3 linked regions of the Callithrix jacchus genome follow. The protein of the gene in region 3 purifies or fractionates together with the protein of the main gene of each other region. This does not show direct contact. Links are inferred from orthologs where the notes say so. Each region holds a gene or a part of one and is shown on either strand. Other genes may lie near its edges.

Region 1 (10,923 bases), on a different chromosome or scaffold from region 3:
CACTGAAAGAATCAGAAGAATAGCAAAATGTATGTAGTGCTTACCATATGCCAAGCACTGTTCTGTGGGCTCACATGTGTTAACTCATTCCTTTCTTGCAATAATCCTGTGAGGTGCTAATGCTGCTATCGTCATTTTACAGATGAGGAAGCCAAAGCCAGGGAGATTAGGTCAACTAGTCAATGTTACCGAGTAAGTAAAGTAGCAGAACTGGAATCCTACATTTAGGTCTTGCGTCCAGGCTCTGGGCAGCTCCCCTTACAACTGCAATGACCCTAAGATGCAAGTGGTACAGCCACTGTTTCACGAAAGAAGATGAGGCACCAGAGGAATAAGGGATCTGCCCACGATTATCCAGGATCAGGCCAGATCAGAATCAAGACTCACGTCGCGCTGGGAGCCCTTGGAGAGCTTCTATCTAACCCCACTATTTAGTGGCCAGGGAAGCTGCTGCAGAGAAGGGAAATGTGTCTTGCACAATGGCACCAGCTAGAGCATGGTGGGGCTGAGATTAAATCCCCTGGGGGCTGTTCCACCCAACACTCACAGGGAGCCTCAGCCCTTAGGGTTTTTTCCTGAGAGAGGGGCTGTCCCTACAATACTCTGTGGTTCCAGTCACAAGAATAGGATGATATGCCTGCAGTCAGCTTACTTGCTGTCCGAGTCACCAACGGTGTCCCCAGTTCTGGTCTTTTGCTGTCACGGGCTTTAGAGAAGCTCATCTCTCCTTTAAAGCAGGGGTTTGTGCTGCTTTAAAGGAGATGGGGTGGTGGGAAATGAAAAAACTCTGCTTTTAGCTTCAGATACACCTGGGATCTAATCTGATTCTGTCACTTTCCAGTGTATGAGCCAGGACAAGTCATTAATCTCTCTGGTCCTCATTTTGCCTCATATAAAGTAAGGTTGTTGGAAGAATTTAGTAAAATAAATCTAGACACCAAACCTTACATCAAAGGATCTGAGAGAGCAACGCTTTTGAGGGCGGGCTTGGCAGGTGTTGCAGATTCAAAGCCTTCATGTGATAGGCCCGTGAGGAATATGTGTTCCATACCTGGGGCTGAGACAGTAGGGAGTGGTGGGGCCTGTGGCTGAACTAGTGAGAGCAGGCTCTGCCAAGCAATGGTCCAAGTGAATGTCATCCAAAGCAATATAGAGCCTGCCCTGCCCCACAGTGCTCCTTCTACTCCAGATATGCCTCGGCTTCGGACCACCAGTCTGCAGCCCCCTAAGTAGATCTGCCATCCTCACAGATGGGGAAACTGAGGTCCCAGTTGAGAATCCGCCTGGTAACCACATAGTTAACTACTGGCCACACAACTAAAATCACCATCTTAACAAAATGCAAAGAAAAAGGTGTTCTTGAATTTGACAAATGAAAAACTGGAGAAAAAAAGTTGGAAATAAACAAATACTAAGATTCATCGACCGTCTTGGACTTTTCCAAGTTTCTTTCCAATAAAGCAACAAAACGAAGCACATAACTGGTTTCTCTACCACCTTTCTCCTGGTTCTCGTAGTCCCAGAGGAACAGACCACACATTACATAACACATGTTTATGTTTTTCTTCAACTAGCTAGTGTTGCTAGAGCCGAAGGCCGGGCTAAAATTAATGCTGTATATTTCCATCTCCCCTGGATTTCTCTTTCACTTCCCCACTGAACTTTGCGCAGCCCTTCATGGTTTATGGAAATTCCCCCATCATTACAGGGCTCAGTGGTTGGGAGGGATTTGGACCTCTGCAGGGTGGGGACACTGAATATGTTGAGTGGCTGTGGCTTCTATCCCTGGCAGGGACATCACCGTCCACTTGGCCTTGAGCAAGCACCCTCCGGTCCTGGGGCCTTATTTTCCCCAGTTGTGCAAAGCAGGGCTGGGAGAAGACCTCACTGGGGTCCTCTGTACACTAACATAGTATTTTTAATTTTTATTTTTTTCAGGCAGTCTCACTTTATCCTCCAGGCTGGAGTGCAGTGGCGTGATTTCAGCTCACCGCAACCTCCGCCTCCTGGGTTCAAGCAATTCTCCGGCCTCAGCCTCCTGAGTATCTGGGATTATAGGCATGTGCCACTATGCCAGGCTAATTTTTGTATTTTCAATAGAGACGGGGTTTCACCATTTTGGCCAGGCTGGTCTTGAACTCCTGATCTCCTGATCTGCCTGCCTTGGCCTTCCACAGTGCTGGGTTACAGGTGTGATCCACTGCACCTGGCCAGAATTCTTTGTTACAATGGCATCTGGGTTTGGTGGAGCAAAACAGATGGAGAATTCCTGTGGGTAGGCATGAGGTGAGGCGCCCTCCTACGCAAGGGACTTCTGGGCTCAAAGGAGGTGGCAAGGCTGGTGCAGGGTGGGTGGAGAGGGGGTGACAGCTGGGAGGAGTGCATTTCCCCACACCCATCCATCTTCCCCCATGTCACATCACCTACTTGGTTTTCTCCCTTCACAGTGAAGAGTTTGCAGCCCAGAGAGGGTCAGGGCCTTACTACGGCCATACAGCAAGTCAGTGACAAAGCTGGGATAAGTCTTGGCTTTCCCAGTACTTGTCTATGGACTGAAACAGCCTTGTCTCAAATCCCAGATGACGAATGTCTGAATCGGGCCCTGACATTGGTCTCAAGCATCATGTTGGGTTCACTGTGCCTCCCAAGCTGTCCCTTATAACCTCAGGGTTCCCAAACCTACTCTCTCTTGGCCCTTCTATCAAAGGCAGCATCCTGTACCCCCAAAGACTAGTGCCTGGGAGGCTGACTGGAGAGGAGACAGTAGACGGCCAAGGGCCCCATGGTGTACAGACACCGAGGCCAAGCTTTAAACCAAAAGAATGAAGACTTCATGGTGACATTTCTGGGATCGGGGCAGGTGGGAGCACTCTTTGCAAGGCAGGGGAGAGGGAAGTGAGCCACTGCCTGCCTAATTTCACACCATTTCTACCCAGGAGCATAAAACGAAGGTCCAAGAGCAACCTGGCAGGGTGCAGGGAAGAGAATCTCGCCCATGGTCAATCGACCTGTTGAAATGAGCAATACATTTCACTTACTGGCAGGGGGCTCTGGCAAATGACTTCACACGGCTTCATATCTGTACAGTGGAGAAAAGAATCCTCTGGACAGAGATGAGGAATAACCAAGGTCATGCATGGGTGGGCACGCACCAGGTGTGGAAGCCCTCTCTGTATCTGTACACAGGTTGCACTCCTGCCTGAGAGATGGCAGATTTCTCCCTGGCTAGCTGCTGCACTCCACAGGACACATTTCAGCAGAAAGAGGCTTCTGTTCAGCAGTGAACAGCGACTGAGTTCGGCAAATTTTCCATTAAATTTCTCCAAGTATTTGTTGACTGCCTGCCGGCTGCCTCGTCCTATGCTAGACAAACAGCCTCAGCGTCACCGTCATCGCCACACTAACACCTGGTGCTTTACAGGCACTGCCCCACTAATCTGTCCTCCACGTTTACCCTAAGAGGTGCAAATTACTATTAGCCCTATTTTATAGATAGAAAAATTGAGGCTCAAAGAGGATTTAAGTAACTCACTAAAAATCACAGAGCTCCTTGCTTACAGAACTGAGATTTAATCCTAGATGTGCTGTCTAGGATTAAACAAATTTGACTCCAAAACCTGACATTTAATCCTCTCTGTGTACAAAGCTGAAGCCAGGAGACTTGAATCAGGAGACTTCAGAGGTGGCCCGGCTCATTAAGAGGGGCAGCGTCAGTTTGCAGCTGAAATTTGAGGCTCTGAGGACAGATTTCTCCAGATCAACTTGCTATTAGCTGTGTGACCTTGGACAAGTTGCTTCACCTCTCTGACCCTCGATTTCCTAGAGATGAGAAAGGCGGACTTTGTCATAGAGCTATTGTGCAAATTAAATATGCACAAAATGCCAAGAACTGCCTGGCGCACAGTATGTTCTCGAGAACATCAGTTCTTGCTGCTCCTGGTGCAGGTCTTTTAGAGACGTTCTGTGGGAACCTGAACGCCTTGGCCTTGGGTCATCTTTTTGACCCCATCCCCAAAACTCAGTGTGGGGAAAAATTAAATCCTTCCAGCACTCCAGAGATCAAGGTCGTGGTGAGTGAGGGGAGAGGAGAGAGGTCAAAGGTTATCATGTTTTGCCCAAGAGAACAGAGAGGTTGAGCAACAATCTGAAGTCACTGAGCATCAGCGAGACCTTGAGTCCAGCCCAGGCTTCCTGTTTCCCATCCAGTGCCTGAGACCTGAGAGAAACTGAGCACTAGGGCCAGGCTAGGAACCAGGTGCCTGAGCCTGAATTATGAATGGTGTGTGATTTGGGGCTAGTTATTAACCTCTCTGTCCCCAGCTTCCTCATCTGTAAAATGGGAATAACCCTAGTAACTGCCTTGGAGGGTTATAAGGCTTAATTGTGCACTGAGCTTAGCGGTAGCCTGGCGCAGAGCGATTATTCGGGAATGCCAGCTTGAGCCCCGGATGATGGTGCCCCTCACAGCTTCCTGTCCTCCACTGGGACAGGAGGACCCAGAGGTCCATAGTGCATGTGAGGCTGAGGCTCGGCACAGGTCTGCTCCTGGTCATATCTGGAGGGGATGGAGAGTGTAAGCTGGTGTTCCTTCCTGCCCCCTCTGGATCTTAACTTCCTTATCTATAGAAGGGGAAAAAGATGCGTGCCCAAGCAGTAGGAGAGGAGGTGAGGCTTACAGGAGACAACAGACAGGATCTCCCCGACAGAAACAGGAGCTGTGCAAACAGAAAGAAATGACTGAGCCTAGTTGCTGTATCTTGGCTTGTACCCCCATCCTGGGGTGCCAGGACCATGGAGCCAGACACCCTCATTTACTTCTGCTTACAAGAGCCAGTGAGCCCACTGGGAGGTACTGAGGGGTACCAGGCAGGCCTGGGAAACAGGACACCCTCTCATGGCTGCTGTTTTGACAACAGGAGCCCAGCTGCAGCCCCTCCCTGTGCCCTGCACCCCAGGGGGTGGATACCCACTCCACAACCACCCCTGCCCCAGGCCTGCTGCCTGCCTGGGCCGTGCAAGACTCAGCGGCCTCTCCAGAACCTTTCGCAGTGAAAGGGATACTTACGATTCACTGTCCCAGGTCAGCGATGGTGCCTGAGGTTGAGGAGACAGAGCCCTGTCCTCCTCCGTATTTAAGCAGTGGCTGCAGAGGGGCAACGGGGGAGGCTGTTGGTGAATATTAACCAAGGTCAGCCCAGTTATCGGAGGAGCAAACAGGGGCTAAGTCCACTGGCTGGGCTCTGAGTTGCCCGCCCACACTGCCTGGACGCTCTGCCTGGGCAGCGCACAGCCTCCACTCCATGTACCAAAAGGAGTCATTGTACCTGGCTCAGAAACCACAGTGTCCTGGGTCCAAGGTGGAGGGGGCGGTGTGAGTCACTCTCTGGGAGAGCACCACGCTGCTGGCCCTCTGCTGTCACTGCAGAATTCTCAGTGGGTGTTCCACTGGTAGCAATGGTAGTTCTACCATTTACTGAGTCACCCCGAAATGCCTGATGCTGAAGACTCACTGCCGCCCTGGGAGATCAGAGTGGGCTACAGCCCATTTGACAGACGAGGAAACTGAGGCTCAGAGCAGAGAGGCCGCTCATCCAAAGTCACACTGTCAGCCTCAGATACAAAAACACTCTTGATAGTCCCGATGGGGAAATGGAGCATGACTGAGGCAGACACAACCATCAGGCTGGCATGGGGGTGGGGAGCATGAGACAGGGTGGAGGGGTGGGAGAGTAAGTCTATAAAGAGGACCTGTGCTGCCTCAGGCAGGCTACTTCACCTCTCTGAACCAAGAAGTGTTTCACCTGCATCTGAGAGAGGTGGAAGTCTCACTCCCAAGCATGGCTGTGAAGTGCCTTGGGTGAAGTGCCTGGCACACTGCAGGTTCTTCATGTGGGTCTGCACAGCCCTCTGCTTAGCCTGCCCCCCAGGCTGCTCAGAGCAGGAGGAGGTTCAGTTCTGACCAGCCTCAGGCCTGTTTCTGTTTTTGCTCCTGGAAGACCAAGGTGATCTGTATTCAGCTTGGATTTTCTTTGGGAATGTGACCCCCACCCTGGTGTTGTTGGAGGCTTTGGGGAGTGCTGGGGTGGAGGGGAGGGGTGGGGCTGAGGCCAGTGGGGCCCCACTTGATTGCAATCCCTTTAGAAGCCTAAATCAGACCGCATCACCCTCTGTGCAAACCGCAAACCTGCTTGGCAGCTGGTGTATGCGCCATAGATCCTTGCAGAACGAATGGATGAGTGCATTTTTGCCCCTTCTGTTATTTGCCAGTCTCACTGCACCTCCATCTCGGGGCTCTACCAGGTGAGTGACCCCCAGGATTCTCCAGCACACATATTCAGACCAGAGGGCCCACTTAGTGGCTGTGAGGCCTCAGGCGATTTGTATAACCGCTCCGAGCCTCAATTTCCCCATCTGTAAAATGGGGGTGGTGATGGTGTGTACCTTGTTGAGCTGCTGTGAGGATTAAAATGCAGCAGTTTAAGGCAAGCTCAGAGCCGGGTGCTGGGTGTTCCCGGAAAGCCCCTTCTGATGCTGTCCTCCCTCCCCCTTGTCAGGGGTCTCCCTGGTGTCACTGGGGTGGGGTGGGCTTCCCTCCAGGCAGTCTCTCATTCAGTTACCCTGTGAGGGGAGTATGTACCACCCTCCTTTCAGGAAGCAGAAAACTGAGCTCAGACTCCTGTCCCCTTCTCTCTCAGCTCCCTTTCCTGACAGCTCCATCCCCTGCCTTCAGGGCCCCGTCCTTCCCCTGAGATGGCTGAATGGATGTTCTGCTACTCTACCTCTACTCACAGCTCCAGCGCTAGGCTGTGGTTGAGGTCACCTGCCCTTGGCATCTCCTGGCCATTTCTTTCCCTCTCTGGGCCTCCATTTTCCCATCTGCATAATGACCCCCACTCCAGGCCCAGCTGTCCCTCCATCTGTGGAACTGAGTGAGCAGTAGCAGCAATGTCCCACCTTTCCCGCTCTCCTCAAGCTCTGTTCCCTCCGGCAGGTACAGGAGCGTGGGCTGGGGACTGGCAGGAAGGTGCCACCCCTTCTACCTGGAATTCCTGGCAGCAGCAGCGGCTAGGCCTTCCTTGGAGGCCCGGCCCCCTCCTCCTTTGCTCAGCTCAGGATTCTGAGGGTTGTGGTGTGGAGGCAGTACACGCCCTGGGTACAGTGCCCAGTTCCTGCTCACGCAGGAAGTAGACTTTGGATGGCGGATGACAGACACAATAGGTTGGGGAGGGGAGGGGAGCTTGGGCAGGAAGGGGCCTTGGCCATTGCCAGGCAGACACAGGACTGGCCCTCATAAATCCAGACAGCCCTGCATGTCATCTCTTCCACCTGTCCTGCCTCAGCTCTGTGACCCAGGATGAGTCACCCTGTCCCTTTGAGCTTCTGTAAGTGGCACAGTCACACTGCCCAGAGGATTACTAGAAATGATAGGCGTCGCTTTCCTGGCACAGACCTGGCACCAACATCTGGCAGGTTTCTGGAGCCAGCTGCAGAGGGCAGAGGACTGAGCCACCTATGAAATGCCCAGTGGGCGACCCTGAAGCTGGGCAGGTCTGTGTGCGCTGGGGAGGTGTGTGTCACAGGACCTGGCTGGGTGTGGAAGGGATCGTAGCGGGCAGCTGGGGCATTTGGAGGAGGAATGAAGAAAGCATGAGTGGAAGCAGTTGGGGCAAGTAAGGGGCTCGGAATTTGGGGTCCTGCTGTTTTGGGTGAAGGGCTCCAGGCTCAGCCCCTGCCCTGCTCTGGACATTCATCCCGGGAGGAAAGGCTGGGGTGATCTGGGAAAATGACCAGGACAAAACCCAGGGGAGTGGAGGGGGGCTGAAGCACTCAGTGGCCGTTTGCAAGGACACTATACCCCCAGGAACCCCAGGACACAGTGGGGAACGTTTTGTCCACTTGGTTAGTCCCAGAATTGTCAATTGCATCATCTGGGCTGATCCCCTGGAGGAAATGTGTCATGGGAAGATCCTGTGGGCTGGTCATGAATAAGGGGCTTCTGGGAGGCCCTGCCCCACCGCAGCGCCCTGCCTGGAGATGGGAGCCTTGTGGTATGGACTGGAAAGGGGTGTGAGAGCCAAGACTTGGGGTCTATAGCAAGAAGGGGTAACGGGGTGGGGTGTGCCAGTGGCCCTGGGCCAAGTAAATCAAGACTGAGTGGCTGGTCAGGAGAACAACAGTGGACTTCAGGGGAGCTGAACACATTGGCAAAGTACCCCAGAGAGTGCTTCCCACCACACACACACACACACACACACACACATACCATGCGCACCCTCACTGTGCACCCTCCCTCCCAGGCACCAGCTTCCTTCTTTGGGAGGCAGTACAGGTTACTGGGGTCAGGATCTAGCATCTGGAGTCAAGTCTTAACTCCACCACTCTTTTTGTGAGATCTTAGACAAGCCATGTAACCTCTCTCTGCCTCAGTTTCCTCATCTGTGAGACAGAAAGACTCTAAGAAGAGTTACTTCCATCAGGACTGTGAAGATCCAATGAGTTATTAACATCTGAGCGCTGCGGGCAGCCTCTGGCTTTGATAGGCCCTGAGTCAATGCTACCCACCGAAGGCCACGACCTTTGGGGACGTGTCCTGGCTCTGAAAAGCCTTATAGATGCGTCTCAGGGGTGTAAGTGGAGGAACAACTGCTGTGTTTGGCCCCAGGCTTGGGGAGCTGCACCCGTTATTGAGGGACACCTCCTCAGATTCAAACTTCCATTTTTTTTTTCCAGAAAGAGGCTGCCAGTCCCTTTTGGGGCGGTGCTCATTTTGGCTTCCTGAAGGCACAGGGCCAGGTGACTTTAGCATCTTTCTGAGCACCTGTGACGTGCAGAGGATGCAGGGGTGCTGCAGCTAGGCGGACTTGGATCCGGGGAGTGCCTTGGTTCTCTGAGCCTTGGTTTCTTCATCTATAAAATGGGGATAAAAGTCTCTTTTCAATATAGTCATGAGGCTTAAATGAGGTGATGCTCAGGGCGTTTGACACAGAACTGTTAGCACAATCGACACTTGTGTCTGTCTTCTTATAACTTATTCAACTGGTCAGGTGAGTTGGATGTTTGAAGTTTGTCTTCTAAGAGAAGAATTAAGTTTGCACCATCTGTTCACCTCCTCCAGGCATCTTTCAAATTAACCAACTTGCAAAACCCTAGCAGACACTCTTCCCTTCTGTGGGGCAACCTCCTGAGCCGTTTCCTGTGTGGGGGAGGGTTTCTGCTCTTTCTTCAACTATCTGGCCTCCTCACAGCTTCTTGTTTTTACTATTTTTTTTTTTTTTTTTGAGAGTCTCACTCAGTCACCCAGGCTGGAGTATAGTGGCGCAATCTTGGCTCACCACAACCTCCGCCTCTTGAATTCTGGAACTGTAAGCCATTTTCATGCCTCAGCCTTCCTAGTAGCTGGCATTACAGGTGTACACTATCACTTCCAGCGAGTTTTTGTTTTTTAGTTGAGATGGGGTTTCACCATGTTGACCAGGCTGGTCTCAAACTCCTGGCCTCAAGTGATCCACCTGCCTCCCAAAGTGCTGGGATTACAGGCGTGAGCCACTACACCCAGGCTTTACTCTTTATCCTTTACTCAGACAGAGAAAAATAAGGAAATCTATACACTGCAATGGGCAACTTAGTTCAAAAAAGGAAGAAAACATGCATCTGTAGCTCCATCCTCTTCTTGTTCAAATTAATGAAACTGATGTTTTATTGCAACTAACCTCTTCCAAACTTATTTTAACTTTACTTCTTTGGGGTTATAGGCCACGATGGTCATTATGGATTGGAAGCTTTTTTTTTTTTTTTTTTTTTTGAGACGGAGTTTCGCTCTTGTTACCCAGGCTGGAGTGCAATGGCGCGATCTCAGCTCACCGCAACCTCCGCCCCCTGGGTTCAGGCAATTCTCCTGCCTCAGCCTCCTGAGTAGCTGGGATTACAGGCACGCGCCACCATGCCCAGCTAATTTTTTGTAATTTTTAGTAGAGACGGGGTTTCACCATGTTGACCAGGATGGTCTCGATCTGTTGATCTCGTGATTCACCAGCCTCGGCCTCCCAAAGTGCTGGGATTACAGGCTTGAGCCACCGCGCCCGGCCAGATTGGAAGCTTTTAAGAGACTCAATGCGTCCTATTTAACTACAATCATGATTTGATTTTAGTTGGTCAGCGGGAATGCTTTTAAGCTATCTCATTATCCCTTCAGCAATCTGTGCTGATGTTCAGCCACTCACACTGCTTTCTAGCAATGCCACCATGTTCAGCTTCCAGGTCTGCCTTCATTTTCTCTTGCCCCAAGTCATGGCTTTGGGGATTCTTCCCTGGGAGAGGAAGAGAGCGGGCAGTGACAGAGGCCTTCCGGGAACCACAGCAGGGCTGAGCGTGTAGGACTCATCCTCGTGTGGGGATCAGGGGAGACCCAGCAGGACTTCAGGCCATATTACTCAGAAATACAAGGCCTGTGTGGGTGGCTTAGGTAACCGAGAGCAATAGGGCTCTTAATTTGCCCAACTCCGACCTTGGCTTCAGATGGTTCGATTTGCCCTGTTGACTTCATGTTGACTTTGAGTGTTTGTTTGCTGGGTATTAACAGGCCTTCTGCTTCCATTTTATAATACGCATCTCCGAATACTCCAGGGGCGGCATGCCACCCCCTGCATCGTGGCCGAGAGTCCTCGCGCATGTGCTGTCTGCCAGGCCCCGTCTTAAACACTTCGTGTGCATCACCCCACTCTATCCTGTGCAGTGGGTACCACTGTGATCTCCTTAGAACATATGAGGAAACTGAGGCAGAGAGTGTTACCCTGATGCTGAAACGCGTACCTCCATCTCTCCCTTCCTCTCTTTCTCCCTGCTTGCTGCCTCTGCGACACTTCATACACATCCCTTTGTAACATTAGCATAATAGGTAACAGTGAGCACGTGGCTCATGCCAGC
Region 2 (10,773 bases), on a different chromosome or scaffold from region 3:
GCCTGGTGGTGTGTACCTGTAGTCCCAGCTACTTGGGAGGCTGAGGTGGGAGGGTCACTTGAGCCCAGGGGTTTGAGTTAAGAGTGAGCTACGATCATACCACTGCACTGAGCTCAAGTGATCTGTCTGCCTTCACCTCCCAAAGTACCGGGATTACAGGCATATGTTATGTTGTCCAGGCTGGAATGCAGTGGCTATTTTAAAAGGCCTGGCCAAAGAATAGCAGTGGCTATTCACAGGCGCAATCATAGTGCACAACAGCCTTGACTGGCTCAGCATTTAAAAAAAAGTACACAGATAGCAAAGTCTGAAGAATACAAAAAGAAAAGTTAACAATAGCAGCCCCTGCTACATCCAAGTGTCAGGATCATGGACAATTTTACTTTCTTGCTTAAATATTCTACAACAAACATTTTATAACAAAAACTCACATTTTATTTCTCAAGTGAGCCCTTTTTAATATGGTATCTCCCAAGGACACCAAATTCCAGAGTAGAAAGAGGTCTCATAAATCAAAAGTTCTACTGCACTCCAGCCTAGGTGACAGAGCAAGACCCCATGTCCAAAAAAAAAAAAAGAAATCAAAGTTCTATTGTTCTATTTCAGGAAACTGAAGTTCAAAAAAGGAGGGACTTGCTATACAACTGGTCAGTAGGACAGCTATACCTGGTTTCCAGTCCAAAGCTACTTCCACTCTGCTTCACTGCTTATCTCAACCACCTGCTTGGCAGGTCAGAAAGTCCACCATTAGAAACTTTCATCAGTTTTGCTCATTTTGCTACCTTACTTCACTAAACGTGGACAGCAGCTTTCATAAAAACAGTAGACTCCTCCTGGAACATGAAGTTCTAGTGGTCATCTGGAACAACAATTACCAGGTTACTCAACAAGATATCCTGAGCCTGTTAACCTTGCTCTGGCCACAACCCTGGCACTGTCGGTTACTACCCAATCCAAGTGCTCTTCAACTGCAGCCAGCTTGCTCAATCTGTAAATAGTTACTGACCTCAACTATGTGTACTAGGAGCTAGGAGAGCCCAAGAAAACACAGATCATGACCCCCATCCTAGTTTGCCTGTAAGAGTATGTAAATACTCACAAGATAGATGGTGTTTTCAGAATTCTTATTCCACCAGGCTGATTAGGAAATACATCTTCCAAGAAAAAATATATGTGTCCAACTGCAATACCTAAAGTCAAGCAGAAATAAAGGATGAGGGAGACAATGAAAATTTGGATTGCAGGCATACCTACCAACATAAATTGCCTATATTTAGGATGAATGGCAGCATAATTATTAATGAACGAATATTGTAGTCTTTTACAATACTTATACATGAAAGCCAAACAGAATATACAGGAAAAATAGTGACAAAATACATTTACAGGTAAAAGAATTTAAAAAATAGTGAGAAAAGCCTTACCCAAAAGGTCCACAATGATCGAGTTCCCCAACAACAAGGAAAACCCCATGAGCACCCAGGGCAGAAAGGGGGCCTGGAAGTTGAGAAGGCCGAAGAAGTTCATGCGGACATAGGGGTTCCTTCGGCTCCACACGTAGACGAGCATTATTGTAAAGGCCTGGCCCAAGAAAACTAAGCTCACAAACAAACCAAAAAGCTAGCAGATAGCATTAAGGAAAATGTCAACATTAAAAGTTTAATAGGGAAGACTGAGCAGGAGGACTAACAATTGTGTTCTAACAAACGTTTGAGCTGGAAAAGTCAAGTTGTTATATCTTTAGAATAGAAGGAAAAAAAAAAAACAGAAAATAATTACCCAGAGCAATCATGCAAAAATCTGCTTAGGCTAAATTACTGAGATTGCAGCTACTTCAAACAAATACTCTGCTTTCGTGAAGTTCTTGCCTCTTTGGAAAATCTGTTAATTCTTTGGTCAGTAATTATATTAAAGCTTGCTCATGGTTAACACCTTTTCAGAGGTGAATAAAGCTAGCTGGAACAAGTCCATCTTGTCCAACAGTAGCATATCTAAGACTATTGTATAGATGAAAATTTTTTCTTTTTTTGAGACGGAGTTTTGCTCTTGTTATACAGGCTGGAGTGCAATGATGCGATCTCGGCTCACTGCAACCTCCGCCTCCTGGGTTCAGGCAATTCTCCTGTCTCAGCCTTCTGAGTAGCTGGGATTACAGGCATGCGCCACCATGCCCAGCTAATTTTTTGTATTTTTAGTAGAGACAGGGTTTCACCTTGTTGACGAGGATGGTCTCGATCTCTTTACCTCGTGATCCACCCACCTCGGCCTCCCAAAGTGCTGGGATTACAGGCGTGAGCCACCACACCCGGCCTGAAAATTCTTTTTCTAAAAAATAATTTATTGGTTTTGATAGCCACCAAGTAAATGTCTTACCAACTTAGTTTAAAAGTGAAGTACACCAAGCAGCAATGATATAACTGAGACACTTAATAGTAACCCACCTGGGTTAAAAGCTCCTTTGATTTGTTCATCCTGTTCAACCTCTAGGCTTGGAAACTTGTCACAGAAAATGTGCTGTAAAATAAATGATGGTGGGCTGGGTACGGTGGCTCATGCCTATAATCCCAGCACTTTGGGAGGCCAAGGCGGGAGGATCCTCTGAGGTCGGGAGTTTGAGACCAGCCTTACCGACATGGAAAAGAAACCCTGTCTCTACTAAAAATACAATATTAGCTGAGTGTGGTGGTGCATGCCTGTAATCCCAGTTACTTGGGAGGCTGAGGCAGGAGAATCGCTTGAACCTGGGAGGCATAGGTTGCAGTGAGCTGAGATTGCACCATTGCACTCCAGCCTGGGCAACAAGAGCAAGACTCCATCTCAGAAAAATAAAGTAATAAACAAATGATAGTGCCCTGAAGCTAAAATCTGGAGCTCTACTTTTATCTGTTTCTTCAGAATATCTAGTGAATTATGGGAGACAGATGACAAGCTTTGGGAAGAAACAGGGTGTTCTTTAACATTTTCCTGTATGTGTTCTATTTGTTGAAGGATACGGTCATTAAGAATCCACCAAAAAGGAACATAAATACAAAGTCTGCTGTCCGACCCCGGAAAGAGCCTTCTTCTAGCATTCGACAGTAACGATATCTTAAGTTCCAAGTTAAGAAAATATTAAGCACATGAATATGAACAAGGTAAAATTTAATGTTATGTAAGTACACTTGGATTCCATATTATTTGTAAGAAGTCAAGTCTTCATTTGTGTAAGAATGTTTGAGTGGTAATGTGTCATTACCCTTCTTTTACCAAGTGTTTTAGAAACGGTCAAGACCAGCACCATATTTTACAAACTGTCCCTAGCTAGGAACTAATCCACATAACGTACAGAAGTGCTTCCAGTATCCTACTAAACCTTTAAAAAATTGTATAGTCTTTCCTGTGCTGCACCTTAATCTGTACCATCTTTGCTTTTCTACAACTTAACTTGGAAGTAATCTGTAGCAAGAAGCCTTGTGTGCTAAACCACGTTTCCAGACCTGGTGTGAGCACCTCAGTCAATAAAGATGAATTATGATGAGAAAAAATTTTATTGGAAACTTACCAGAATGATATCCTAAATAGGATTTAAAATGGATTCCTGCCATCTTCAGGAAGGAATGCAGCTGCAGATGAGTTGAACTGTAACTCCCTCTTAACAGAGAGGGCAGGGGTGGAGGAGGAATGCCGTGTTCCATGGCCCCAACTGCCATTGATCAGAGCTGGGGTTTCCCTTTCTTTCAACAAATTGGAACTTGACAAGACCAGCAGACACATCACTGTCTTTCAGCCAGTAGTTCCCGCAACCAGGACCGAAGGAGATCACAAGTTCCCACTCTCCATGAACCCACTCTAAAACTTATGCCCAAATTCTGCTAAATTATCATTGTATTCAGGTTGTTTTACCACTTTGTACCTGTTGATGTCACTGTGGAAATATATCTCAGTTAAATCACTTCTCCCCTCCCTTGATCAGATTTGTAAGCAACTAAAAAGTAGAAGTGGTATCTTTTTATGGTTAAAACCTCTCATTTGAACAGTGACCTACAAACCTTTTCAAAACATTACTACCTAACCAACTACTTTATGTTCCACTGATCCAGAAATTATAGCTAAGATGGTACCAGAAACAAATAACAGGATTAAAAGTTTCAACTTAATCTTTTACTTCCTAAGAAAACAAAGTTTTGATGCTGACCCCATTTAATAAAGGATACAGAAAAATCATGTTAAATAAAAAATTGAATCCAACTGGCCCAAAAAATAAGAAATTGGTGATTAATCTCCATATCTGTTTAAAAAAAAATCAAGAGAAAGATATATTAAGTCAAATAAATTACCAGGAAACAGTTCCATATGAATACAAAAGACACATCCTATGACTATGATGGTTGAGAAGCCTTGGACAGAGTGATATTCTGTTCTGAAACAAAATGAGGGCATATAATCCGATGTTAGATTTTTGCTGCTTTTAGTTAAAAGTTTGAAAGACATCATTGGGACTGTGAGATTTACAATAGCACAGAAAATTTTAAATTGTGATTGTCTTATGGAGAAAGTTTGGTAGAAAGACTAGGTTAATTTGCTGAACAGAAAACAGTGCTTTCATATGTAGTATTATCATATAATAAATAGATCTGACATACCAGAGAAAAACTTCAGGGTCTAATATAAATTGCTGAGAAATGTTTACATTAGGCAGTCAGAAACATCTCAAAGAAAATTCTTTTTTAATTAAAAAATTTTTAACGTATCCAAGACTGAGTAATCTATAAAGAGGAAAAAAAAACCATTTTTTAAAAACAGAGACAGGTTCTCACTATGTTGCCCAAGCTGACTCAAACTCCTGGCCTCAAGGGATTATCCACCTTGGCCTCCCCAAAGTTTTGGGATTATAGGCCTGAGCCACTGCACCTGGCCAGAAAGGAAAATTCTAAAGAAAAAACCCAAGTTCTAGTCTGAACAAATGGCCAACTCCCTGCAAGAATGAATGCTATAATAATTATAGTCTACTTGGGAGATAAAGAACACTCATTTTCTTTTCTTTTTTTTTTTTTTTTGAGACAGAGTCTTGCTCTGTCGCCCCATCTGGAGTGCAGTGGCATGATCTTGGCTTATAGCAACCTCTGCCTCCCAGATTCAAATGATTCTCCTACCTCAGCTTCCTGAGTAGCTGTTACAGGTGTCACCAGACCTGGCTAATTTTTGTATTTTTAGTAGAGGTAGGGTTTCACCATGTTGGCCAGGCTAGTCTTAAACTCCTGACCTCAAATGATCCGTCCACCTTGGCCCCGCAAAGTGCTGGGATTATAGGCGTGAGCCACTGTGCCCGGCTAAACACTCATTTTCTTGTTGGAAACTCTGATACAGCCTTCCCTGCCCAACATCTCCACACCCACAGTATCCACTCACAATGGTAGAGTATTTTTAACATTTAAAAATTTCTACTACCTCTTGTGATCTTAATAATCCTATGAGACAAGCAGGCTACCCCCATTTCACAGATAGGAAACTAAAAGACTTACTGAAACTGACTGAGTAACTAGCTAGTTATTCAACTAAAAGGTGAACTTTTAAATGTCCTGACCAAGGACCCACAGGTTGTAGAGGGAGACTCTGCTGGCAAATCTGGAACTCCTAACTCCAAATGCACAGTGTCATCAAGAGTTTAACCCCAGGCAAAGTAAAGCCAAGCAAGCCAAGTAGGAAGTAAGACTTACTTGGATGGAACTACAGCTCCATGTGAGTATTGTGGGAACACAGTGACAAGAGATGACAGGACTGCTTTACAAATCACTAAATTCTTGAGAACTGGTAACTATTAATGTTGAAACAATTAGTTCTACATATCAATTATCCAGATTTTAGAGCCCTCATCCTAGTGAGGAGACAAGCATATAAATAACTGCAAAGTAAAGGTGAGAGATGCTCTAAAACAAAGGAGGATGAGTACATAAAGGTTACACAAAAGCTGCATTTTGAAAGGCAAGCTAGAGCTCAACAGGTATAAAGTGAATGAAATACATTTGAGACAGAGGGTACAGCATGGGTAGAGGCACAATTATTGGCTTTTGGGTCTCTCCCCTACTCCAACTATGGTCTGTAATATCATCCTGGAACAGGAAATACCATCTCTCTTTTAGCATTTTATTTTGAGACAGAGTTTTGCTCATCTCCCGGGCTGGAGTGCAATGGCACAATCTCTGCTCACTGCAACCTCCATCTCCCGGCTTCAAGTGATTCTCCTGTCTCAGCTTCCCCAGTAGCTAGGATTACAGGCATGCATCACTAGGCCTGGCTAATTTTTGTATTTTTCGTAGAGTCGGGGTTTCACCATGTTGACTAGGCTGGTCTCAAACTCCCGACTTCTGGTGATCTGCCTGCCTCAGTCTCCCAAAGTGCTGGGATTACAGGCGTGAGCCACCACGCCTGGCTGCTGTTAGCATTTTAATCACTGGAGAGGACTATCTCCCACTGTAATCTAATAAACCACCATGTTGCTTTAGATGTTGGTCTTTTGGAATTTTGTTAATATGATCTGATCCCTGCAAGACAGATCACAATTTAAAAGTACTAACAGAACTGAGTTTCTGGACCATGGTGATAACACCAAGGTGGTGGGTGTGCCTAGGTGGTGAATGGACAAAATAAGGCCATCCCTTTGAGACAACCCCTAAGCAGCCACCTGGTCAGTCTCCTCTCAAACTACAACATTAACTCTAAACCAGTGATATCCAACTACAGGAATTGGGCATATCAAAACGATGCAGGGAACTTTTAAAAATAAAACATAGATTTTAATTCCTACCCTTGCAAATTCTGACTTGGTATTTGTTGAGGAATTTGAGAATCTCTTCAAAGTTCCCTAAGGGATTCTCAAGTCCAACCAGGTTGCAGAATCACTGCTTTATATCCTGACAAAGCAATTATAATCAAAGGTCCCCACTGGGTTCTTTTTTAGGCTAGTATGTAACAGGATTTGCTACTAAACTGTAAGAAAAGGAATAAACTGAAGCATTAATCACTATTGTGATGAACCACTTACTTGAAAGTGTTTAAAGATTAATTCAGGATTGAAGTACAACTGAAAAGGTGTGATCAATTCCAACTGCTGAAATAGAAAAAGAGCTTCTTAAAGCAAATCAACCAAGAGACAAAATTTCATCATTTACAACAAAGGATTAGTAGGTCTAGCAATTTCCAACTATCAGTCACTTAGACTGATTTCCTTTAAGCCTTTCTTCTTAGGCCAGAGGAAAAGGTTGGTAAAGAAATCTCTAGAATTGGTAGAATTCTTTGTATTCTCACTACCTAACAAAAAGTTTGTTGTATGTTGCAATAGTTGAGGCTGACATGAAGAAATGAGAGGCAGACAGGTGGTGATATTTTAGACACAGGACAAGTAAAAACAGCTGCTATGACTACCCCACCACATGGGCACCACCTGGAACAGCTGTGTCAAACAACAAAACTCAATTGAAATAACGGAGACTCGAGACCCTGCCACCATTAGGGCTGGGTACCTCCAGCCAGCCCCTTATTATCCAAAGACCTCTTTATTATAAGCTGTTCCCCTCTCGACAGTTTCCAGCTTGCTTTCCTCATTCCTGTTTCTTCCCTAAGCGGACCTTCCTCTCACTACTCACCACGGTACCACCTGGCCATCACCAGAGCTCTCGGACACATTTCTTGGGTGGGAGGCTCCCGCAACCCTAACCCACTACAGGTCCGGCCCTCATCTCTGAGAAACTGACCAGATCCCCGATGAAGCAGCACTCCCTTCTCAGGTCACTGGATACGCTTTCTCGGCGCCAACTCGAACCCCAGAATAATCCCTGTATGCCTCCACCCATCACCGGGACCAGCCCCTTTGGACTTCCCCAACGTCCAAACCCCAGTTTCCTGAAGACCCAGTCATATCCAGCCCAGATAACGGGAAGGTGGCGCTGAGGCTGCTCACCACGGCTGCGGTGGTGAGGACGCAGGCAGTGGTGTAGGCGCGGCTGACCGGTGGGATCTGCAGGTATTCCAGCCGCAGGCTCTGATACGCCATCTTCCCCACCGTCGCCCGCCCTCCCACTTCCCCTTCCGCCAGCAGATCCCGGCGGCGGGGCGGGCCCAAAGCACCCCCGCCCCTCCCCACTAAGCCTTCCTGTGGCTGCCCAATCAGCGCCAAGCAACCGGCCAGCCACCAATCGTAGAGCCCCAAGTAAGGCACACCCGCCAATCACGAGTTGCTTCGCCTCAATGCCCCAGCGCCTCAGCGCCCCAGCCTGGCTTCTCCACCAGCCAACGTCCGGGAGAAACGAGTAAGTATCGGTTCCTTCTGCCAATCCCCGCCGGCCACAGCTAACTTTCCCGCCCGGCCCCTTTCTGTCAGTAATTGAGATGTCCCCAACCAGCCAATCAGGAGAGCGAGAGCATCCCGCGTTTGCTTTCGTTCGCCGAGGCGCGTATCAGTCGGAATTTTGGGGACCCAACCGCTCCGTCTGTCCTTGGCATGCCAGCGGCGGTTTAGAGGAGGTGGCGGGAAGCCTGTGTGCTCGAATTCGTCACCCTCATGGTCGCTCCAGTAAGTGCTGCGGAGCAGCATTTTTCCTGAGGAGCGGGTACTGGCGGGACTAGTTTAGGCGTCATCGCTGAGGAGCGCGGCAGCCTGCTGGGTAGGCCTCGCCGCCGGTTCCGAACCGAAGGTCCCGGCATGCAGCGCGGGCGCGGGGCCCGACGGGAGCCCGGAGCCGGCCGGAAGCAGTTCCTGGGCCTTTCCTTCTGGGTCCTGTTCAGCGCAATCTTGGGCTCTTGGCTCAGTTCGCCGAGATGGCCTGGGCACTTAGGCGTGGAATCGGCAAATGATGAGGCCGCACTCATTTCTCTACTAGGAAATCCAAGTCTAGCAGAGAAGATGAGGCGGTAGTTTATCTGTCAGTGCCCGAAGAGAGGTCCTAATGGGAATGCAAAGGAAGGATTTAATCAAGGAAGTGTATTTTTTTGTTATTTGAGATAGAGTCTCACTCTGTCGCCTAGACTGGAGTGCACAGTGCAATGGGGCGATCTCGACTCACTGCAACTTTGAGAGATTCTCCTGCTTCAGCCTCCCGAGTAGCTGGGTTTACAGGCACCTGTCACCATGCTGGCTGATTTCTGTATTTTTAGCAGAGAAAGGGGTTCCATCATCTTGGCCAGGCTGGTCTCGATCTCCTGACTTCAAGTGATCCACTTGGCCTCCCAAAGTGCTGGGATTACAGGCGTGAGCCACCGAGCGCGGCCAAGGAAGTGTATTTCAATGTTGAGTGACATTTAGCTCAGGCATCCCTCCTTGAGGGAAAGAAAATAACTGGTTTGGTTGGAGCAGAGTAGCCAGTTCATGGTAGGAGAGGTTAGCATCATGCTTTATTCATGCGTTATGAGGAAGCACTAAAGATTTTTGGAATGATGGGAGTGACCATCAAGTCTGGTAGTTTATAAGGTAGGCTGAAAAGAGTGGTATTTTAAAAAGGATGTGAATGGCCAGGCGCGCCGGCTCACGCCTGTTATCCCAGCACTTTGGGGAGGATGAGGCAGGTGTTTCACGAGGTCCGGAGATCAAAACTATCCTGGCTAACACAGTGAAACCCCACCTCTACTAAAAATACAAAAAATTAGCCGGGTGTGGTGGTGGATGCCTGTAATTCCAGCTACTTAGGAGGCTGAGGCAGGAGAATTGTTTGAACCCGGGAGGCAGAGGTTGCAGTGAGCCAAGATCGTGCCACTGCATTTCAGCCTGGGTGACAGAGCAAGATTCCATCTCCAAAAAAAATACAAAAAATTAGCCGGGCGTAGTGGCGCGCGCCTGTAATCCCAACTACTCAGGAGCCTGAGACAGGAGAATCACTTGAACCCAGGAGGAGGACGTTGCAGTGAGCAGAGATTGCGCCATTGCACTCCAGCCTGGGTGACAGAGTGAAGCTCCATCTCAAAAAAAATAATAACAAAAACTTAAAAAGATAAGAATAATTGGCAGAAGGAGAAATGTCACCCAAATATCACCCTGACAACCTGTTGATAAAACAACTCATGGTTTAAGCCAGGCAGGGTGGTGCACACCTGTAGTCCAGCTACTGCTAAGGCAGGAGGACCTCTTTAGTCCAGGAGTTCAAGTCCAGCCTCTGCAACAGCGAGACAGTTTCTTTTCTTTCCTTTTTTTTTTTTGAGATGGAGTCTTGCTCTGTTGCCTAGGCTGGAGTGCAACAGTCGATCTTGGTTCACTGCAACCTCCGCTTTCCAGGTTCAAGTGATTATCCCACCTCAGCCTCCCAAGTAGCTGGGACTACAGGTGGGCACTATCATGCCCAGCTTATTTTTGTATTTTTAGTAGAGATGAGGTTTCACCATGTTGGCCAGGCTGGTGTTGAACTCCTGGCAGGTGATCTGCCCGTCTTGGCCTCCCAAAGTGCTGGGATTACAGGCATGAGCTATTGTACTCGGCCTACAAACATAAACTGTTAAGATTAGCAGCATTTTGTCTTCCCATAAGATTTGACTGCACTGCTTACTGCAAATTATTTCATAAAGTGCATCCTCAATTCACCTGATATTTGAAGTAGCAGTTTATTTTAGCTAATTGTGTTTATCTGAAGGAATAATAAAACTTCTCTTTTCTCTATGACAAGCATATCATTTCATCTCAGGAAAAGATGCCTAGGTTGAACTCCCACAATGACAAGGAGATAAGCGTTTTATTTTCCTAGATGTTTATATTTGAGAGGAATTACTCCCAGACCCTTGAAAAAACATGCAGGGTTATAAAGCTGACAAGGG
Region 3 (10,126 bases):
GTTGTCCAGCTCCCGCTCCATGCCAGCTTTCACCTCCGAGCGGAGACGGTCTCGGTCTGACGGAAGCAGGATCCCTTCCAGTTCCTTCTCAAATTCTCCCAGTAACTGCCGTTCATCCTCATCCTCATCCTCATCCTCATCCTCCTCTTCTTCCACCTCACTCCGCTGTTCTGGGTCACCCTTTTCCTTTTCCTCTGCTTCCCTCTGAGGGACTTCTGCAGCATCATCTGCAGCCTGCTCTTGGCCTATGTTTGGCTTCCCCTGGGTGGGTCGGGAGTGGGAAGAAAGAGGTAGACAGTTGGGGTTTCAGCAGAGACACACGGTGGGGTGCACACAAACAGTAGCAGGTGTGTGGTACTTGGGGACCCAGGAGTTGAGGCCCAGGTCAGGGTAGTTTTTCAAATGTTCCCAGTTGGGAGGTGGGTTCTATCCATCCCCTGAGCACAGCCTATACCTTTTTTGTTCCACCTTTCAGCTCCTCTATGAATCGAATCAAATCCGCAGGGCTTCGAATGACTTTGACCTGCACATTGTTCTGAAAATCTGAGATGAAAGAATAATAATTATGAACCTGTTCTGTTGTGTCTAAATTCTCTCTTTTTTTCTTTGAGATGGAGTCTTGCACTGTCACCTGGGCTGTAGTGCAATGATGCAATCTTGGCTCACTGCAAACCTCCACTTCCCGGGTTCCAGCGATTCTCCTGCCTCAACCTCCCAAGTAGCTGGATTTCAGGCGCCCACCACTACAATTGGTTAATTTTTGTGTTTTTTGTTTTTTTTGTTTTTGAGATGGAGTCTTGCTCTGTTGCTCAGGCTGGAGTGCAGTGGTGTGATCTCAGGTCACTGCAACCTCTGCCTCCTGGGTTTAAGCGATTCTTCTGCCTTAGCCTCCTGAGTAGTGTGTCACCAGGCCTGGCTAATTTTTGAAATTTTAGTAGAGATGGGGTCTCTCACCATATTGGCCAGGCTGGTCTTCAACTCCTGACCTCATGATCTGCCTGCCTCGGCCTCCCAAAGTGCTGGGATTCTAGGCATGAGCCACCACGCCCAACTTAATTTTTGTATTTTTAGTAGAGATGGGATTTCACCATGTTGACCAGGCTTGTCTCGAACTCCTGACCTCAGGTAATCCATCCGCCTCAGCCTCCCAAAGTGCTGGGATTATAGACATGAGCCACAGCACCTGGCTCTTTTTCAACATGGTGTGTCACTATGTTGCCCAAGCTGATCTTGAACTCCTGGGCTCAGTCTTCCTGCATCAGCCTTCCAAGTAACCAGGATTACAGGTGTGCATCACTGTACTCCTAAATTCTCTTTTGATTCCTAAGGAGAGGTAATGAGAGACATGGTCCCTGCCTCTACCTGTTTGATAGCAAGACAAGGGCAAACATTTGTCTGCAGAGAGCACCATCCTAAGATGGACACTCAGGTAGGAGAGATGGATGCTAACAAGCTGCTAAGTCCCCACTCTTCCATGCACTTCTGAGGCACTTCTGGCAGTCAATCCAGTTTTTAGGACTATAGAGGACATTCTGGGGCTAAGGGCTTGTCTTCCCTGGAGCCCTTCTGTTCTTTCCACAAATATTAACCATTTAGTTTATTCAGTTCCAGGTATTCTACTATGAATTATGGATGTATTCTCATTTCAGCCCATGCAACCCTCTAAGGTAGGGGTTATTACCCACATTTTATGGGTAAGAAAATTGAGGTTAAGTGAATCACAAAGTCACCAAGTGGTGGAGCTACTGTGTTCTGCTACCTTCCTAAAACAGCAGTGCTGTCTACAGAGTATTAACTCCTGTAAAAATGAATTTGCTGGCTGGGCACAGTGGCTCATGCCTGTAATCCCAGCACTTTGGGAGGCTGAGGTGGGCAGATCACGAGGTTACAAGTTCAAGACTAGCCTGGCCTATATGGTGACACCCCGTCGCTACTAAAAATACAAAAATTATCCAGGCATGGTGGTGCATGCCTGTAATCCCAGCTACTCAGGAGGCTGAGGCAGGAGAAATGCTTGAACTCAAGAGGCAGAGGTTGCGGTGAGCAGAGATCACATCACTGCACTCCAGTCTGGGCAACAGAGCAAGACTCTATCTCAAAAAAAAAAAAAAAATGAATTTGCTGCTGGCTTGGCTGCTCCCTCCTAGTGCTTAGCTCTCCCCTCCACCCATACCCCAGCCAATCCTAAAATACATCCAGTAAAGGAGACATGGAGGGTTCACTCACCACTGGGAGTGCCTGGAGCTGAATCTGCTGCCTCAGGGCTTGGGTCCTGCTCCTGATTAGGAGAAAAGGACAGAGTTAAGTATGAAAGCCTGTTCATGCCCTCCATACTATGAAGGCAAAGGTTCTGGAGATATCCTTGCATCCCTAGGTAGATGTAGGTCACCTCACAATGACCCCAGCTGCAGTAACCCTCCCCCTCCCCATCCTGTTCCTCTGAGGCAGCTGGTCTCACCTCTGCCTGCACCTCCTCCCCTCCTGGGGCCTGGTCCTCTGGCTCATGAAGCATCTTCCAGAAATCTGAGTCCTTACTGTCATCCTTGGTCAGGCTGGCACCTGGGGTACAGAAAACAAGGAGAGATCAATCTGACAGGAGGGGTGAGATGGAAGGGAGCAAATAGGATGGGGTATCTTCCCCTCCTGTATCACCAAGGGATGAGGGCCCCTGGTACTCTTCCACCCCACCCCACCAATCAGTCAGGACAATAAGATCAGGGGGAAGAAGAAATGGAAGCAAGTTTCATGGAACAGGTCAAACAAGGTCCTACCTGCCATCTTTTGGGGTGCCACCCCAGACTTGGTCTCACTCCACACTTGGGGACCCAGGTCTTGCAGCTCCTCTATGATTTTATCTCCATACTGCTTTGAGTCTATTGAGAAATAGCATGCAAGCAGGCCAGGAACACGAACACATTCCTCTGGCTATTCAATACTTGGTCTTTTGCCACCTCCTGCCCCTGTATCTCCCCTTCCTCTCTACTCACCAGCTTGCCTCTGAATATAGGCCATGTACTCCTCAGGCTGCAGGGAAGGGTGACAGCGAATGGCCTGGGGTGCAGCACTGGGTGGGGGCCGGAGGAGAGGGTGGGGGCAGAGCCGAGGAGTGCGAACTGTCAGCACATAAGAGCAGGACAAGGGCTCATCCACACGATCGATATAGTCCCCAGAAATACCTGCACCCTCATCACAGAGGAACTGTGGGGACAGAAAGGGTGAATATACTGTAATCACCACCAATAACATGCTTTAGTTCTTAGAGCAGGTGTCTTTTACTAAGCACTGATTATCTGTCAAGCACTGTGCATACACTGTGCATACGGCACTTTACATAAATTGGCTCATGTAATTATCACAAAAACCCAGTGAGGGGGTATTGATATCTCAACTTTGTGCCTCAAGAAACAGGTATGATGCAGTTAAGGCACTTGTTCAGGCTGACCAGCTTTCACGTGGTAAAAACAGGAACTGAACTCAGGCAGCTTAACTGTAGGTAACCAATTTGTGTTTTATATTCTTGCTTTGTATAAGTATTGTATGTGTATATATAAATAAATATATATATATACTTATATTTGCTTTATATATGTATTATTATTGTTATTATTTGAGATGGAGTCTTGCTCTGTCACCCAAGCTGGAGTGCACTGGGGTGATCTCAGCTCACTGTTGCCTCCCAGGTTCAAGCAATTCTCCTGCCTCGGCCTCTCAATTAGCTGGGATTATAGGCACCCACCATCATGCCTGGCTAATTTTTGTAATTTTGTAGAGAAAAGGTTTCACTGTGTTGGCCCAGGTGGTCTTGAACTCCTGACCTCAGGTGATCCACTGCCTCAGCCTCCCAAAGTGATGGGACTACAGGTGCGAGCCACCACGCCCGGCCAGTATTATTTTATAAAATATATATTTCTGTATAAATATATATATTTTTAAAAATGTGAATATGGTAAAAAAAAAAACTTCAAACAATTCTAAGATTCTTTTTATTATTATTATTTTTTTATTTTTTGAGATGGAGTCTCACTCTGTTGCCTAGGCTGGAGTGCAGTGGCATGATCTCAGCTCACTGCAACCTCCACCTGCCTGGTTCAAGCAATTCACCTGCCTCAGCCTAGATTCTTATATCATTCAGAAAGAGGGTAAAGATATTGTCTGGCCTTTGATAAATTAAGCATGTAATATTCTAATTTCTAATATAACTATTAAAAGTAAGAGAGGCTGGTGGCTTACACCTGTAATCCCAACACTTTGGGAGACTAAGGCAGGAGGATGGGTTGATGCCAAGAATTCAAGACTAGCCTTGGCAACATAGTGAGACCTCATCTCTAGAAAAAATTTAAAACTTAGCCAGGTGTGGTGGTGTACGCCTGTAGTCTCAGCTACTTGGGAGACTGAGGCAGGAAGATCCCTTAAGCCCAGGAGTTCAAAGTTACAGTGAGCTATGATCATGCCACTGCACTCCAACCTATGCGGAGAACAAGACCTTGTCTCAAAAATGAACCAACAGTAGGAGAGGTCCTACTTCTGAAATGGCAGCATGAGGGACTTCACAGACTCACCCCTCAGGGAAACTCCATAACTGATGAAAATTTTAAAACACAAAGCATTTAAACTCTTTGGAAATTTTCCTAAGGACATATAACAAATAAATGTTTATTCAAGAAAATCTACGAAATCTTTTTTTTTTTTTTTGAGACAGGGTCTCACTGTGTCACCCAGGCTGGAGTGCAGTGGTATGATCATGGCTCACTGCAGCCTTAACCTCCTAGGTTCAAGCGATCTTCCCACTTCAACCTCCCGAGCTGGGATTACAGGTGTGTCCCATCATATCTGACTAAATTTTAAAATTTTTTGTAGAGACAGTGTCCTGCTATGTGGTCCAGTCTTTCTCAAACTCCTGGGCTCAAACAATCCTCCCACCTCAGCCACCCAAAGTGCTGGGATTACAGGTGTGAGCCACCATGCCCAGCTACTAAATCTTGAATAGTAAGAATCTGCTGCACTTGAGCCATGACCTGCTCCCTCACTCTATGCCCCAAACCCCACCTCACAGCTCAGTTTGACAAATGCTCCACTCTAGCAGGTGAGTGTAGTTTAAAAAAAAAAAAAAGCTGGGGTTGGGGAGCAGGAGGACCCTTCTTATTCCCTGAACATCCAGTCATGAGATATAGTATATGGTATTTTACCAGAAGGGGCAGGGTACAGTAACTAAATTCCTACAAAAGTGGTCACAAGATCAAGGGCTCCCTTCTTCCACCCAGCCCCACTCACAGGGCAGAGGCTTTCCCTCAAGTACAGTGGGACAAGAATACCGGGGCCCTGACTGGCCTCACTGAAGCTTGCTCAGAGAGTGGAGGTTTCACAAAAGAGATGCAACCTGGGAGAGCAGAGGCTGTTATCCCCTCCTAGCTCCCTGCTCATAAAGCAGGAATGTCCTTTCAAGAGAAGCAAGCCATTGTTCCTGACCCCAACTTCTGAGCAGGGCCTTGGGGATTTTGCCCAGCAGGAGAGGCAGTCCATAAGAACCCAGAGCTCCAAAACATTCTCCAAAGGACTGACTTAATGTGAAACAGAGTATGGGGAAATTCAAGCCTACAGGCACTTCAGAAATGTAGAGATTTTGGTGGGAGGCAATTAAAAGGAGGCTGGTTGCTCCATGATAGCAACAGGCTAAACCTTGGGACACCTAGTTTAACAGAGAGAACCAGGGAAAAGGCAACTGAGAGCCATCCTGGAGTCAGAACAAACCTACATATTAGCCTCAAAAACGGGCCCTACAAAGGGGCCCACAATTAATTGGACTAGACGGTGGAACAACTTAAGCCCCACAAGTCAAAAACAATAAAGCGACTAGTTGGCAATGAGTGGAGCCCAACAGCTGGGGGTGATACCAGGAGAGGCCGACAGCATAACAAATTCACGAAAGAAACAGTCAAAAAGAGCCTGCTGAAACCACTGTCATCTAGTGTGACTGTGTGCAGGGCCAAGACTGTGCTCTCTGAGGAGACACTAGAGGCTTCATGTGGTGAGGGAAAGAGACTGCACTCAAGTAGTTCCACCAAGTCCCTAAACAAATGAACAAACAAAAACCATGGGGTGGAGGGCAGGAATTTTTTTTTTTTTTTTTTGAGACGGAGTTTCACTCTTGTTACCCAGGCTGGAGTGCAATGGTGCGATCTCAGCTCACGGCAACCTCCGCCTCCTGGGTTCAGGCAATTCTGCCTCAGCCTCCCGAGTAGCTGGGATTACAGGCACACACCACCATGCCCAGCTAATTTTTTTAATATTTTTAGTAGAGACGGGGTTTCACCATGTTGACCAGGATGGTCTCGATCTCTTGGCCTCGTGATCCACCCGCCTCGGCCTCCCAAAGTGCTGGGATTACAGGCTTGAGCCACCACGCCTGGCCGAGGGCAGGAATTTTAACTGTAGTCACTACAACATACTATCTAAAATGTCTGGTTTTCAACAAAACCATTACAAAACATGCAGAAACATTACAGTATGATGCATATATAGGAAAAATATGCAGGCAAAAGAAACAACCTGTGAGAGGGCCCAGATGGTGGATCTCACAAACACTTAAAAATAGATATTTTAGCTAGGCGCGGTGGCTCACACCTATAATCCCAGCACTTTGGGAGGCCGAGGTGGGTGGATCACCTGAGATTAGGAGTTCAAGATCAACCTGACCAACATAGAGAAACCCCATCTCTACTAAAAATACAAAAAATTAGCCGGGCGTGGTGGCACATGCCTGTGATCCCAGCTACGAGGGAAGCTGAGGCAGAGGTTGTAGTGAGCCAAGATCGCACCATTGTACTCCAGCATGGGCAGTAAGAGTGAAACTCCATCTCAACAACAACAACAACAACAAAAGTAGCCTGCATATATACATATATATGTATATATGTAATATATATTATATATATATATATGTATATATACAAATATACAACTATATATATGTATATTTGAGACAGAGTCTGGCTCTTCTTGCCCATGCTGGACTGCGGTGGCACAGTCTTGGCTTAACCTCCACCTCCTAGGTTCAAGCGATTATCTCACCTTAGCCTCTCAAGTAGCTGGAATTATGGGCACCCACCACCATGCCCAGATAATTTTTGTATTTGTAGTAGAGATGGGGTTTCACCATGTTGGCCAGGCTGGTCTTGAACTCCTGACCTCAGGTGATCTGCCCACCTCGGCCTCCCAAAGTGCTGGGATTATAGGCGTGGGCCACCATGCCCAGCTTGTAGCCATTACATTAATAAATATGTTCAAAGAATTAAGAATTTAAGTCACACAAAGTGTGTTCTCTGACCACAACGAAATAAAATTAGAAATGAATAAGGAAAAAAAAATTTTGAAATTTAGAAATATGTAGAAATTAAACAATATATTCATAAGTAACCAATGAGTTAAATGAAAAAAAAAAAACAAAACTATAAATTATCTCAAAAATGAATGAAAATGAAAACATAACATATCCAAACTTACAGGATGCAGCTAAAGTAGTGCTTAGAGGGAAATTCATAGCTATAAACATCAATTTTTTAAAAATGAAATCTTGACTCCATAATCTACCCTTCTACTTTAAGAAACTAGAAAAAGAAGAACACACTAAACCAAGAGCCAGCAGAGGGAAAGAATGCAGATTAAAACAAAAATAAATGAAATAGAGAACAGGAATACCATCCTATGTATCCAAAGACAGGGAACCACAGATATACCTTTCTAGGGGGTTTATACATGTTTTTAAGTTTGTGTAATAAGACATTTCAAAAAAGACAATCTTTAAATATACATAACTTGTACCTGGCAATTATACTTTTTTTTCTTACTTTATTTTTTTCTTTTTTAATAGATGCAGAATCTTGCTCTGTTGCCCAGGCTGGTCTCAAACTCCTGGGCTCAAGCCATCCTCCCTCCTCAGCCTCTCAAAGTGTTGGGATTATAGGCATTAGCCACCATGCCTGGCCCAGTTATAGATAATATATTTACACATGCATATATGTACAACAATAATCATTTGGGATAACAAAAGAATGGGGGGACTATTTTAATCAGTAGAGTAACGGTGACAAAATGATGAAACATACAATGGAATTTTATGCATCTATAAAAGCAAAAAAGATGTACTGCCATTGAAAGGTCTCTAAGATTTACTGTCAAAGGAAATAAAAGCAAGGTATAGAACAGTGTGTTTAATTTAGTATCTATTGTTTATAAATAAAGGGGAAAGGAAATAAGAATCTCCGTTCATAATTGTTTGTAATCACACAAAAAAAGGTTGGAAGGATACATGCAAAATTAAGAGCAGGGATAACCTGTGGGGCTGGAGCAGGGACAATGGGGAAAGAATGGGAAACGAGCAGATGAGAGACAAGTATGGGAGGGAAATATTTCTTTCTTTTCTCTTTCCTTCTTTCTTTCTTTCTTTCTTTCTTTCTTTCTTTCTTTCTTTCTTTCTTTCTCTCTTTCTTTTTTCTTTCCTTTTCTTCTTTCTTTCTTTCCTCCTTCCTTCCTTCGTTCCTTCTTTTTCTTTCTTTCCCTCCCTCCCTCCTTCCCTCCCTCTCTCCCTTCCTTCTTTCCTCTCTCTCTCTTTTTCTTTCTTTCTTTCTGACAGAGTCTTGCTCTGTTGCCTAGGCTACAGCATAGTGGAATGATCTGTGCTCACTACAACCTATGCCTCCCAGGTTCAAGCAATTTTCCTGCCTCAGCCTCCCAAGTAGCTAAGATTACAGGTGCATGCTACCACATCTGGCTAATATTTTGTATTTTTAGTACAGACAGGATTTCCCACAGTGGCCAGGCTGATCTTGAATGCCTGACCTCAGGTGATTCACCCACCTGTGCCTCCCAAAGTGCTGGGGTTATAGGCATGAGCCACCGCACCTAGCCAGGAAATATTTCATTACATACCTTTTAAATATTACTTTCTGGGTTTTATATCATGGGAAAGTATTATCTATTTAATAATTAGATAAGGAATTTAGAATAGCCATTAAAAACTTGTGAGAGATATGTAAGTAGTTGGAGACAGATTTATGAAATATAAAAGAGGAAACGCTAAAAATGAATGAGCTAGGCATTCATTTCAAGAAGTTGAATAAACAGCAAAAGATACCCAAAAAAGTAGAGGCAAGAAAAAGTAGAAGGAAGATTAGAGTAGAAATTAATAGAAAACAAATACAATAGAGAAGCTTAACAGTTGGTTCTTTGAAAAGTGTAACAAAACTGTCTAACCTCTGATTTGACTGACCAATAACAAATGAGCGATGCAAAAAATAACCCATGGGAAATGAAAACAGGAACCTAATGACAGATGCTACAGAGATTAAAAAGATAGAAGAATATAATGAACTTTATGCCAATAAATCTGAAAAGTCAGATGAAATGAACAAACTCCTAAAAAGAAAACTTACCAAAACTGACCCAAGTAGAAATAGAAAACTTTGAATATTTCTAAAACTACTTCAGAAAATGAATCAGTAGTTAAAAATCTACCTACAGCCGGTGCAGGTGGCTCAGGTCTGTAATCCCGGCACTTTGGGAGGCAAAGGCAAAATCCCAGCACTTTGGATCACTTGAGGTCAGGAGTTCGAGACCAGCCTGGCTAACATGGCAAAACCCTGTCTCTGCTAAAAATACAAAAATTGGCTGGGCATGGTGGCGCATGCCTGTAATTCCAGCTACTCAGGAGAGTGAAGCATGAGAATCTCTTGAACCTGGGAGGCAGAGGTTGCAGTGAGCCAAGATCACACCACTGCACTCCAGTCTGTGTGACAGAGTAAGACTCTGTCTCAAAAAAATTAATTAAAAAAAGAAAAAAGGGATAGGCAAGGATAATATATATGACCACACTGGGTTCATTTCAGGAATGCAAAGTTTGTTCAACATTAGAAAACCTGTAAATTATTTAATTTCAAAATTAAACATAGCCTCAAAACATGTAAAGAAAAAATTTACAAAATTGCCAAAGCCACCATCACAGTGGGAATATTAACACAAGTCTTTCCATCATCACTAGTCAACTTGACATAAAATTGTAGAAAATCTGAACAATACAATTAGCATCTTGAACTGCTTAAATGGAGAAATGACATGCTTTTAAGCACCAACA

What was found.
Region 1: the proteins of OS9 (region 3) and SERPINA1 purify together in Homo sapiens (affinity purification with western blotting; 4 studies listed by BioGRID). This does not show direct contact. The link is inferred for Callithrix jacchus from reciprocal best matches to the Homo sapiens genes OS9 and SERPINA1.
Region 2: the proteins of OS9 (region 3) and DERL2 purify together in Homo sapiens (affinity purification with western blotting; 3 studies listed by BioGRID, with this or other methods). This does not show direct contact. The link is inferred for Callithrix jacchus from reciprocal best matches to the Homo sapiens genes OS9 and DERL2.

What each region holds. Positions count from the first base shown.
Region 1 is NC_133509.1:129,218,545-129,229,467, forward strand, and holds the start of SERPINA1 (alpha-1-antitrypsin), read right to left. Parts: upstream 7,161-10,923; 5' UTR 6,955-7,160; intron 5,109-6,954; exon of another isoform or gene 5,066-5,108; intron 1-5,065.
Region 2 is NC_133506.1:107,014,785-107,025,557, forward strand, and holds the start of DERL2 (derlin-2), read right to left. Parts: upstream 8,047-10,773; 5' UTR 8,030-8,046; coding exon 7,937-8,029; intron 7,088-7,936; coding exon 7,022-7,087; intron 4,268-7,021; coding exon 4,194-4,267; intron 3,088-4,193; coding exon 2,994-3,087; intron 1,621-2,993; coding exon 1,425-1,620; intron 1,191-1,424; coding exon 1,100-1,190; intron 860-1,099; coding exon of another isoform or gene 856-859; exon of another isoform or gene 1-855.
Region 3 is NC_133510.1:61,988,239-61,998,364, forward strand, and holds part of OS9 (protein OS-9), read right to left. Parts: intron 3,199-10,126; coding exon 2,988-3,198; intron 2,874-2,987; coding exon 2,772-2,873; intron 2,560-2,771; coding exon 2,459-2,559; intron 2,279-2,458; coding exon 2,227-2,278; intron 544-2,226; coding exon 455-543; intron 262-454; coding exon 1-261. UniProt on the Homo sapiens protein: Lectin component of the HRD1 complex, which functions in endoplasmic reticulum (ER) quality control and ER-associated degradation (ERAD).